Linked DNA regions of Macaca fascicularis. The protein of the gene in region 2 purifies or fractionates together with the protein of the main gene of each other region. This does not show direct contact. Links are inferred from orthologs where the notes say so. Each region holds a gene or a part of one and is shown on either strand. Other genes may lie near its edges.

What was found. Proteins that work in one complex are often made in the same cells at the same time.
Region 1: the proteins of TSSK6 (region 2) and CDC37 purify together in Homo sapiens (affinity purification with mass spectrometry; 4 studies listed by BioGRID and IntAct, with this or other methods). This does not show direct contact. The link is inferred for Macaca fascicularis from reciprocal best matches to the Homo sapiens genes TSSK6 and CDC37.

What each region holds. Positions count from the first base shown.
Region 1 is NC_088393.1:10,957,768-10,963,378, forward strand, and holds part of CDC37 (hsp90 co-chaperone Cdc37), read right to left. Parts: intron 3,347-5,611; coding exon 3,071-3,346; intron 2,840-3,070; coding exon 2,578-2,839; intron 2,486-2,577; coding exon 2,370-2,485; intron 2,286-2,369; coding exon 2,163-2,285; intron 1,228-2,162; coding exon 1,045-1,227; intron 945-1,044; coding exon 873-944; intron 1-872. UniProt on the Homo sapiens protein: Co-chaperone that binds to numerous kinases and promotes their interaction with the Hsp90 complex, resulting in stabilization and promotion of their activity. Inhibits HSP90AA1 ATPase activity.
Region 2 is NC_088393.1:19,950,784-19,956,980, forward strand, and holds TSSK6 (testis-specific serine/threonine-protein kinase 6), read right to left. Parts: upstream 4,237-6,197; 5' UTR 3,509-4,236; coding exon 2,687-3,508; 3' UTR 1,926-2,686; downstream 1-1,925. Other genes in the region: NDUFA13 (NADH dehydrogenase [ubiquinone] 1 alpha subcomplex subunit 13), read left to right, coding at 4,321-4,414. UniProt on the Homo sapiens protein: Serine/threonine-protein kinase component of the sperm flagellar doublet microtubules. May act as a regulator of sperm motility by mediating phosphorylation of sperm doublet microtubule proteins.

The sequences.
Region 1 (5,611 bases), about 9.0 Mb from region 2:
CACTTCCAAAAATACAGCCAGTGAGACCTTCTTTATAAAAACATAATTTTTAGAAAAAAAATCAGTGAGATGTCATGGTGTCAGCCTATAATCCCAGGTACTTGGGGAGGCTGAGGTGGGAGGATCACTTGAGCCTGGGAGGTGGAGGCTGCAGCCTGGGTGAGAGAGGAAGACCCTGTCTGTCAAAAAAAAAAAAACAGATGGCCAGGTGCAGTGACTCACGCCTGTAATCCCAGCACTCTGGGAGGCTGAGGCGGGCGGATCACGAGGTCAGGAGATTGAGACCATCCTGGCTAACACAGTGAAACCCCGTCTCTACTAAAAAATACAAAAAATTAGCCGGGCATGGTGGTGGGTGCCTGTAGTCCCAGCTACTCGGGAGGCTGAGGCAGGAGAATGGTGCAAACCCGGGAGGCGGAGTTTGCAGTGAGCAGAAATAGCACCACTGCACTCCAGCCTGGGTGACAGAGCGAGACTCTGTCTCAAAAAAAAAAAAACCAGACAAAATCCAATTAACAGCCAGCATTTACCAGCCCCTGCCGTGTGCTCAGCTCCTTTCCCCACACGTTTTGTGAGCTGATATTGAGAGAAAATATGGTTTGCATAAGGAAACTGAGGCTGGACTCAGTCACATTAACAGTGACTATCAGTCACAAGGGACATACGCTCAAAGCTCAGCATTTATCTGCTGGATGCTGGGACACAGTAGGTGCTCAATAAATGTGGGTGTGTGCCAAGGTAACACGACCCCCCTTAGTCCTTGGAGAAGCCTTGAAGGGGCACTTTCACCAACTGGCTTCAGAGACTTGGGACACAGGGCTGGGGGAGACACATGGCCCGCTGGAAAGGCATGGGACGTGGGGGTTACTCACGGTGGGGTCCATCTTGCTGATGGCGTCTTGCAGCATCTGCACGTCCTTTACATCGAAGCACTTCTGGAGTTCCTGGGGGTATAGAAGGGCTGGGGTCAGGGGCTGGGTCCCTGTGCCCTGGGGGGTCCCGCTCAGGGTCCTCCTGCCGCCCGCCTGGGCTGGGGAGCCGCACCTCAGGGAGGGACTCGTAGACCTCGACAGGGTCCAGGCCGCCGGGGCCAAGCCGCTTCTTGCGCTCCTCCTCCTCATACTCCTTCATGGCCTTCTCAATGCGCAGCTTGGCACGGCCCCGCACACGCTCCTTGAAGGCTTCTAGCTCGTCGTTGAAGCCCTCCATGTACTGGCGATCGGCTGTCTATGGGGGTCGGGCAGTGCTCACTAGACTTGGCCCAGTGCTCAGGAGGGACTGGGGGCCCAGGACCCTCCAGCCACAGCTCCTCAGAGGTGCCCCAGGGCTCCCTAAGTCTGTTCCTGACTTACATAAAGGGCTTCCCAAGGCCTGGGCTCCCCTGCCAGGGACCTCATCTGGCATTTGCTAAAGACCACCTCCTTGGGAGCCCTGCTCTACTGCAGATCCGAGACACTCGTGTCCTCAGTGTCCCTGCATGGGCACCTCTAACTCAACACGGCCACCTCCCAGCCTGCCTTGTCCTTGGTCTCCCCAGTCTTGGTAAGGGTACCCCTGTTCCTCCAGGTGCGCAAGTTAAAAACCCGAGAGGCTGGCAGGCGCCTGTAATGCCAGCTACTTGGGAGGCTGAGGCATGAGAGTTGCTTGAACCCAGGAGGCAGGGGTTGTAGTGAGCTGAGATCACGCCATTGCACTCCAGCCTTGGTGATAGCAAGACTGGGTCTCAAAAACAAAAAAAAGCCCAGAGCCCTAGAGGCACCCTCACCTCTGTCCTTTACCCACATATCCACATGGGGACCTCCAGCACATCCTAGTGCTCCCATTTTTTTTTGTAATGCAGTTTTGCTCTGTCACCCAGGCTGGAGTGCAGTGGAACACCACAGCTCACAAATTCCTGAGCTCAAGTGGTCCTCCTGCTTCAGCCTCCCAAAGACTTGGACTATAGGACTCAGTCACCAAGCCTGGCCTGACCTCCACTTTTAAAGTCTGGCAGCATCCGCCCACTTCTCTCCCCCTCCTTGGCCCCGCCCTCTCCTGATCTAGGATTCGGTGATTGGAGGGGCTTGAGTCCCAGTGGACAGGAGTCGGCCTTACCCAGAGCGCTGTGGGCTGGTTCCCTGGGGAGGGGGCCTCCAGCCACCTGGCAGCTCAGGGGACCCTACCTTAATCTTAGTGAAGAACTGCCGGAAGCAGGCCCGGGGGTCCACCTTCAGGCTCTTGGCCAGCTCCAGGATAAACTGCATGACGATTGTCTGGTGGGCCACCTGCTCCATGAGTGCACATTTCTGCCAGGGAGAACAGGCACAGTGTTACCAAGTGGCGGCCTCAGGGCAGCACCTTTTCACAGCCCTGGGGAAAGCTCCACTCACCTCCTCCACCTCTAGGTCAATGCACCAGATGACCAGGTAATTGGCCGTCTCCTCGCACACCAGGTGGACATTGTCTGACAGGTACTTTTGGCTGTCATCCCAGCGGCGGAGCATGCCTGTGGGAAGATGCTGGCAAGGTGCTGGAGGGCCCTGGAGGCAAAGGGCCTGCCCCGACCTTGCCCCCCATAACCTCACACGCCCCACTCACCAAAGTGCTTGATCTGTTTCTCGTACTTTTCCACGAAAGTCTTGTGTTTCTGCTCCCTCACCTCCTCTGAGTCCTCCTCTGTCTTCTCGGGCTTGGTGTTGACCATGCTCTGTGGTAGGGTGAGAGGGGGAGTGGGCTGGGGCAAGGCTGCGGAGCGCCTCGAGTGCGGCCGGGCGGGCCGTGGCCGCAGCGCCCATCCCATCCACGGCGGAGGTGGTGACGAAGCCATGAGCATCAAGGTGGCGGGAGCGTGGGCATGGGCCTTGGGGCAGATCAGAGGAGGGGACCGGTGGGGTGTTTCATCCGCCCGGCCCTCCAAGCCTGTCCCCCCTCCCACGTGGCCCCCGTCCGTCCCTCAGCTCTCTGCCCCACACCACACTCTTCAACTACACCGCCGCGGTCCTCCCCTGACCAGGCATTGGGTGCGCATGCGTCCTGGCTGCATACTCGCTGGCTGCGCAAGTGCACTGCCCGCCCCGCCCGCCCCGCACACCTTGCTGAAGCCGTCTTTGCTGAGCGTGTCCACGTTCCAGGGCATGCTCTTCTCCTTCTTGCGCATCTCTTCCAGCTTCTGCTCCCAGCTCCGCTCCTCTTTGCGCAGCTGCTGTGCCTCGGCCTGCAGCCGCTCCAGCTCTGCCTTGCCGCCCTCAGCCACCTCCAGCTCCTTCAGCTTCCTCTGGCATTCGGCCACCTTGCGCTTGCACTCGCGGCAGCCCCTGTCCAGTTCCTCCTTCTCCTTCTGGAACTGCTCCATGCGCTCCACCCGGGCCTGCGGGCAGGGGCGGCCTATCAACTTTGGGGAGCGGCCTGTCCCTTACCCCCAGCCCCATACCCAATCCCCGCACCAGAGATGGCCCCGGGAAAAAGTATGCCTCCACCTCCCGTGCCCTGGTCTCCCAGCTTCCGCCCCTGCCCCCACAGGTGCCGACGCACACCCAAGTGGGGTCCGGTCCCTCCGTCCTCCGCTCAGAACCCTGGCGGCTCCCATCTCACTCAGAGCAGAGTCCAGGTTGTCACCACAGCCTACGTAGGCCCTACACAATCTGCCCCAGCACCTCCCCTGCTAACTCTTCCTTCCAGCCACACTGGCCCCTCACTTTTCTCACCTTTTCTTGAGACCATTTTTTTTTCTTTTAGAAAAAAAACAAAAAAACAGGGTCTCACTCTGTCGCCCAGGTCAGAGTGCAGTGGCCCAATGACGACTTACTGAAGCCTCGACCTCCCTGGGCTCAGGCAATCCTCCCACCTCGCCTCCCGAGTAGCTGGGACTACAGGTGTGCACCACCACGCCCAGCTAATTTTTGTATTTGCAGTAAAGATGGGGTTTCGCCATGTTGCCCAGACGGGTCTTGAAGTCCTGGGTTCAAGCGACTCTTCCGCCTTGGCCTCCCAAAGTGCTGGGACCACAGGCAGGAGCCACTCTGCTCTGCAGAGCCTGCTTTTTTCTTGAACTTCAAGGCCTTCACACTGGCTGTTCCAACTACTTGGAATGATTTTCCCTCAGATCCCCCCACAGCTGACTCTATGGCACCCGCACCATCTGGGCTCCATGTTGCCTTAGCGAGGACCCCTTCCCTAACCACCTTCCTATTGATGGCAACCTCCCGCTGCCCCCGTCTGGAATTCCCTGCCTCAACACCAGCCACCACTCACATCATATGACAATTATTTATCACGTTTTTGGGTACTGCCCCGCCCCGCTCTCTAAATATGGGAATGTGTTTGCCATTTTGTCTCCAGAACCAGGAACTTGGCCTGGCGCAAAGCAGGGGCTCAGCAAATGCTTGTTTTTTTGTTTTTATTTTGTTTGGTTTTCTTTGAACAAGGTCTTGTTGTCATGCAGACTAGAGTGCAGTGGTGCGATCATGGTTCACTGCAGCCTTGACCTCCCAGGCTCAAGAGATCCTCCTGCCTCAACCTCCCAACTAGCTAGGACTAAAGGTGCACAGAAACCACCATGCCCAGCTATTGTTTTTTTTTTGTTTTTTTTTTAGATGGAGTCGCCCAGGCTGGAGTGCAGTGGTACGATCTTGGCTCACTGCAACCTCTGCCTCCCGTTTTCAAGAGATTTTCCTGCCTCAGCCTTCTGAGTAGCTGGGATTACAGGCATGCGCCACCACACCAGGGTAATTTTATATTTTTAGTAGAGACCAGGTTTCTCCATGTTGGTCAGGCTGATCTGGAACTCCTGACCTCAAGTGATCCACCCACCTTGGCCTCCCAAATTACTGGGATTACAGGCATGAGCCACTGTACCAGGGCCCCTTCTAGATGTTTCTTTGTTCCACCCATAACCTTGCTCCAGGATCACTGCCTAGGCCCCCTTAGCTCTGTCTCCAGCCCAGCATGCCCTCCTGAGCCCCAGCTTGGTGTCTACCTGCTTCCCGCTCACCCAAGCCCCAGATGTCACTCCCCAGGCATTCCTTTCTCCTGATAACAATGCCTCATCTCCTCAGGCTCCTGGTCCCCACCTCACTCCCTGCCTCGCTCAGACCTCCATCTGGGTCCCCATCGGATCATTCAGGACCCTCCGGAGACCCCTATGTGGCTCCACCATCACCCCTCCTGAACCTCAGTGGGGGCTGTTCTATTCAGAGCCGCTGATCAAACCTGGAAACATGCCACCACCTTCAATTGCTGTCCCTCTCCAATCCAGGCACAGCTGCTGCCAGGGAGGCCGGTGAAACCCGCGCATTTGACCACGTGACCAGAGTCCTCCCCACTACCACGTCTTGGGGGGTCTGAATTCAGATGGGACTTCTGATCCTGGCATCCTGGTCCTGGGTCCCAGGCAGATGCTGGCCCTCATGGTTCCTGGAAAGTGTGGCCTTTCTCTTGCCTCTTGGCCTCTGCACGTGCGGTTCCCTTACCTGCTTTGCACCCAAAACTCAGCTTCGACAGAGCCTTCCCCAAATGTTCCCTGCCTGGGGCACCACTGATCCCCAAAGGACCTCCTGTGACCATCTGACATGGTGAGGGTGCTGGAGGACAGCCTTGGGGCACCGGCCCTGGGTCCTAGCCCACAGCTACCATG
Region 2 (6,197 bases):
ACATTTCCCCATATACCCTAAATGGGAGCCACTCCCAGGCTCTGTGGGGTCCTCTCTCGATTTCCTCCTTACCTCTCCATCTCCTCTCCCTCTCTCCCTCCCAGACAAATAAGCTTACTGGCCTTACTCAAACACACCAGCTCTCCTCTTCCTGGGGAACACCTGGACTGTTTCCCTTAGCTTCCGAGTCCCTTTACTTTTTTTTTTTTTTTTCCTGAGACAGGGTCTCACTCTGTGGTCCAGGCTGGAGTGCAGTGGCATGATCATAGCTCACTGCAGCCTTGAACTCCCAGGCCCAAGCGATCCTCTCACCTCACCCAAGTAGCTGAGACACGCCACCACGCCCGGCTAATTTTTAAATTTTTTGTACAGATGGCCATCTTGCTGTGTCGCCCAGATTGGTCTTTAACTCCTGGGCTCAAGCGATTCGCCCACCTCAGCTTCCCAAAGTTCTGGAATTACAGGAGTGAGCCACCAAACCCCACCCAGAGTCCCTCCTTGAACACCTCCCAGCTCTACCTGGCATTTAGCACAACTTACAAGTATTTCATTTCCACGTCATTCTTTTCTTTTACTTGACTTTTCAATTGTCTTGTTTCCGACAGGGATGGGCCCAAGTCTCTTCGCCATGAGCTCTGGGGCCTGGCAGACAGTAGGTGCTCAAGAAATGCATGATTACATGAATTAACAGAGAAGGGAATGAGCTAGTGAGTCCAGCTGAATCCTGCCCAGCCCTGCCCTGACTCCCCCCCTCACCCCCTCTTCCCGAGAGGAAAAGGACCCACAGCAGGGGAGATCTTCCCCTACCCCCGCAACCTCACTATTGCTAGATCTGGGTTCAAATCACAGCTGTGAGCCGGGTGCACTGGCTCATGCCTGTAATTCCAGCACTTTGGGGAGGTCAAGGCAGGTGGATCACTTGAGGTCAGGAGTTTGAGACCAGCCTGGCCAACATGGTGAAACCCTGTCTCTACTAAAAATACAAAAAACTAGCCAGGCGTGGTGGCCTGCGCCTGTAGTCTCAGCTACTCAGGAGGCAGAGGCACGAGAATTGTTTGAACCGGGTAGAGGCTGCAGTGAGCCAAGATTGTGCCATTCCAGCCTGGGCAACAAAGAGAGACCCTGTTTAAAAAAAAAAAAAAAATCACAGCTGTGTCTTTTTTGTTTGTTGTTTGAGACGGAGTTTTGCTCTTGTTGCCCAGGGTGGAGTGCAGTGGCATGATCTCGGCTCACTGCAACCTCCACCTCCCGGGTTCAAGCGATTCTTCTGCCTTAGCCTCTGAGTAGCTGAGATTACAGGTGCCTGCCCCATGCCCAGCTATTTTTTTTTTTTTTTTTTTTTTTGTAGTTTTAGTAGAGATGAGGTTTCACTATGTTGGCCAGGCTGGTCTGGAACTCCTGCCCTCAGGTGATCCACCCGCCTTGGATTACAAGCGTTAGCCACCACGCCGGACTTTTTCTTTTTCTTTTTCTTTAGAGACAGGGTCGGGGGCGCAGTGGCTCAGACCTGTAATCCCAACACTTTGAGAGGCCGAGGCAGGTGGATCAGGAGGTCAGGAGTTCAAGACTAGTCTGGCCAAGATGGTGAAACCTCATCTCTACTAAAAATACAAAAATTAGCCGGGTGTTTGGGCACGTGCCTGTAGTCCCAGCTACTTGGGAGGCTAAGGTAAGAGAATCGCTTGAACCCGGGAGGAGGAGGTTGCAGTGAGCCAAGATCGTGCCACTGTACTCCAGCCTGGGCGACAGAGCGAGACTGTCTCAAAAAAACAAAACAAAACAAAACAAAAAAACAAGAGATAAGGTATCAGCTGTGATGCCCAGGCTGTTTTCGAATTCCTGAACTCAAGTGATCTGCCTGCCTCGGACTCGCAAAGTGTTGGGGTCACAGGCGTAAGCCACCGTGCCCAGCCCTTGGCTGTGTCTTTTGGCAAGTGACATCCATGTGGGCCTCAGTTTCCTTTTCTATAAACTCCTACTTTACGTGGAGACAGGTGACCCTCGCCCCACCCCTGGCTGTTCCATCCTTAAAAGATGTGGACGGGGAGGCGCTGGGGTCCACTTGCTTCCCCACCCATCATCACAGCACCATCACGACCCACGAACAACAGAGCTCCTTCGAGCTGGCCCATACTGGGGAGCCCAAAAGGTCCAGGTTCGAATCCTCCCGACTCCCTTTTGGGTCTTGGAGCAATAACCTCAACAAGCCTGACTAAAATAGGGTACCCGCGCCCGCCTTCCCCGGACGGAGCGATCCCTTCTCCACTGGTCTGCAAATGGGGCCACCGTTAGAGCCAGGTGCGAGGAACAGCGAGTTTATTGCAGGTTCCAACCGGGAACCCGGCACCCATCGTTGGTTGGGAAGGTACGCCCTCCGCGCAGAGGCTGAGCTTGTTCCGCGCAGGCGCAATGCTTCCGTCCCCTCTGGTCTCGCCTCTTTCGGGGCCTGGTCTGGGAAATCACGGATGCGCATGCGCCTCCAGCTCTCGGGATGGCGGAGGACGTGGATTCCGAACAGGGGCAACTGCCGACTTCCCCGTGGGAAGGAAGGGAGGGAAGCGGCAGGGAGAAGGCGCATGCGCAGTAGCACGCGGCAGCTTCGCATGTTCCCGCTAAACTCGCCTCTTGCGCGTGCGCCGCGCTGGCCCAGCGCCCTCGGGGGCAGGAATGGCTGGAACCCCGGGTTCTAGCCAGAGTCCCCGGTGCGCAGCCAGCAGTTGCGCGCTACCTGGCCCGCCGAGGGCCTGGCGGACGGGCTGAACTGCAGCAGCTCGGCGATCAGGGCCTTGCAGCGCTCGGAGAGCTCGAGGCCTTCGGGGTAGAGCACGCCGCGCTTCTGGCGCCGGGGCAGGCCGGCAATGTCCGAGTCGTCGAAGGGCATGCACCCGGTGACCATGACGTAGAGCACGACGCCCATGCTCCACACATCATACTTCTTGGGGTCGTAGGGTATGCCCAGGAGCACCTCGGGTGACGCGTAGGCGGCTGAGCCGCAGTAGGTGGTGCTCAGGTCTGGGTAGCCATGGGCCTGGCGGCCGAACCCGAAGTCGGTGAGCTTGACGCGGCGCTCGTCCGGGCTCAGCAGCACGTTTTCGCACTTGAGGTCGCGGTGCACCAGGTGGTGATCGTGCAGGTAGCGCACGGCGCCGGCGATCTGCGCGAAGAGGTCGCGCGCCTGCACTCCGGGGATGCGCCCGTTGCGCTGCACGGCTTGCAGCAGGTCGGTGGCAGCCGCTTCCATCACGATGTACAGTTTCCCGTTGCACACCTCGATGAACTCGAAGACGTGCACGATGTGCGGGTGTCGCACGCCCCGCAGGATGGACAGCTCTCGCGGCAGGAACTTGTTGACGAAGTCCGGGGGCGCTCGCCGCCGGTCCACCACCTTGATGGCCACGGTACCCTTGTACTTCTTGGATGTGGCCACCTTCACCTTGGAGTAGCTGCCCTCTCCAATTGTGCGGCCCAGCTTATAACCGAGTTCGCTCAGAAGTTTGTCTCCCGACATGGTGGCGCCTGGGGCGCACGGGGAGCAGGAGGCGGCTGCTGTCGGGGGGCGGCCGGACTCCAATCTCGGGTCTAAGCCATGGCGCTTGGCACCTACACCCCCGCACCCCCATGTGCCCACTGCCAGGCATTGGCCGCTGTTGTGCCTTTTATTGCCCCGTAACAATTTTTGCCTTGTGAAGTGACCACGGGCGTCACTCCGCCTTAGGGTGGGGGTCCAGGACCCCGCCCCGGGGCCACCCTAGCCTCCCTGCTTTGTGACTCATAATCACCTTGAATGGTCAGTTTCCGATGAGAGGCCACTAGCAAGGGATACCCACCACCACCAGGGAGCAGCATCCGTTCCGGGGATTGGGGTGAGTCCGAATTCGAGCAGCAGCTGCTCCCCAACATCACGTACCCAGCCCGTGACTACGTGGAGCCCTGGGCTTCCCGTAGAGTCCCTAGACGGAGCGAAAACGGGAAAAGGGGCCTTAACTGGGGCCCCTGGCTCCCTCGGGCGCTCGGAGTTTCTGACTGGCCTGCGCAACACCCCAGAGGCAAGGCGAACGCGAGGGCCTTTAATGCAAGAACCAAGGCAATTCACACCCTGTCTGGGAGAAAGAGGGAATAAAGACTCCTCAGCTACAGCCTGGCAGCGTATTCCGACCCAGGGTCCGCCGCCGGAGCTTTCCTGCGCTGTCGCGTAGTTACACTAGTGTCCGAGGCTTTCCAGGGCTGCGGCGAGCCAACTCGAGTGCTTCCGCCACACTCATCATGGCGGTGGCAGTATGTCACTTCCGCCTGGGACCGGAAGTGTGGAATACTGCCAGCATGGAGATGCCGAAGGTGAAGCAGGACATGCCCCCGCCGGGGGGCTATGGGCCCATCGACTACAAACGAAACTTGCCGCGTCGAGGACTGTCGGGTCAGTATCACTCTGGGCCGGGGTCTCAGAGTGGGTACTCGGGGCTCGGGGGCGGGGTTCCGGGGACACAAGCGGGCCTCAGTTTCCCTGGCGGTGAGACCGGAGGCTGAGCTCGAGAATCCTCCATAGCTTCTGTAATAACGTCAAGTGCTGCAGTTTGTTGAGCGCTTTCCCAGCTCCGCTTCCTTCTCGTAACAGCCCAGGAAATCGGTCCCTCTAATTATTTACATTTTACAGTGGGTTAAACTGAGGCATAGTCTGCGCTCTGGCCCTCAGCCACCCTTGGATTTCTCAGATGGGGAAACTGAGGCCCAAAAGAGGCCACGGCTCCCCAAGGCAAGGCTGAGGCCGCAACCTGGAACTTGGAGGGAATTTACAAGATGTTCTATAAAGTGGTTCCCTGCAGGCAGCCCCCGCCTCCATGGTGTCCCAGGAATCCGTATTCTTAAAGTTTTCAAATTGTTTTCATTTATGTATTTTTTTTTTGAGACGGAGTTTTGGTCTTGTTGCCCAGACCGGAGTGCAATGGCGCCATCTCGGCTCACCGCAACCTCTGCCTCCTGGGTTCAAGCAATTCTCTTGCCTCAGCCTCCCGAGTAGCTGGGATTACAGGCATGTGCCACCACGCCTGGCTAATTTTGTATTTTTAGTAGAGATGGGGTTTCTCCACGTTGGTCAGGGTGGTCTCCAACTCCCAACCTCAGATGATCGGCCCACCTCGGCCTCCCAAAGTGGTAGGATTACAGGCGTGAGCCACCATGCCCGTCGTAAAGTTTTCAAATGTTTTAAGTAACACGTTAAATTTTGTTATGGGGCTCAACACAGAAAAATGAAAAAGACTTGAAAGGCACCCATACTCAGTCCCCAGGGTTAATGGACAAATACAAACTTTTAAACGTAATTTAAGGGTGAATACATACATTCCTTTTTTTTTTTTTTTTTTTTTTTTTTTTTTTTTTTAAAGACAGGGTATGGTTCTGTTGCCCAGGCTGGAGTGATCTCTTGGCAACCTCTGCCTCCTGGGCTCAAGCCATCTTCCCACCTCAGCCTCCCAAGCAGCTGGGATTATAAGCCTGCGCCCAGCTTTCTGTATTTTCTGTAGAGATGGGGTCTTGCCATCTTGCGCAGGCTGGTCTTGAACTCCTGGGCTCAAGTGATCCACCCACCTCAGCTTTCCAAAGTTTTCATGCCTATGGGACTATAGGCATGAGCCACCGGGCTCAGCAGAATGCATGTCTCTTAACAAATTAAACTTTACATTTAAATTACATGTTATGCACATTATGCCTCAATTTTAACACATACAAAAAATGAACATAGTAATTAAAAATGTAATAATTCAGATAGTAGAAAAGTCAATGTGAGGTGAAAAGCCCTCCCCAGCTGCTTCTTGGTTTTTTGTCTTTTTTTGTTTTTGTTTTTTTTATAAGATGGAGTCTCGGTCTGTTGCCCAGGCTGGAGTGCAGTGGCGTGATCTCGGTTCACTGCAAGCTCCGCCTCCCGGGTTCATGCCTCAGCCTCCCAAGTAACTGGGACTACAGGTGCCCGCCACCACGCCTGGCTAATTTTTTGTATTTTTAGTAGAGATGGGGTTTCATCGTGTGAGCCAGGATGGTCTCAATCTCCTGACCTGGTGATCCGCCCGCCTTGGCCTCCCAAAGTGCTGAGATTACAGGCGTGAGCCATGGCTCCCGGCGGTTTTTAATTTTTTATTTCTACTTTTTGTAGAGACAAGGGTGCAGCTATGTTGACCAGGCTGGTCTCAAACTCCTGGGCTCAAGTG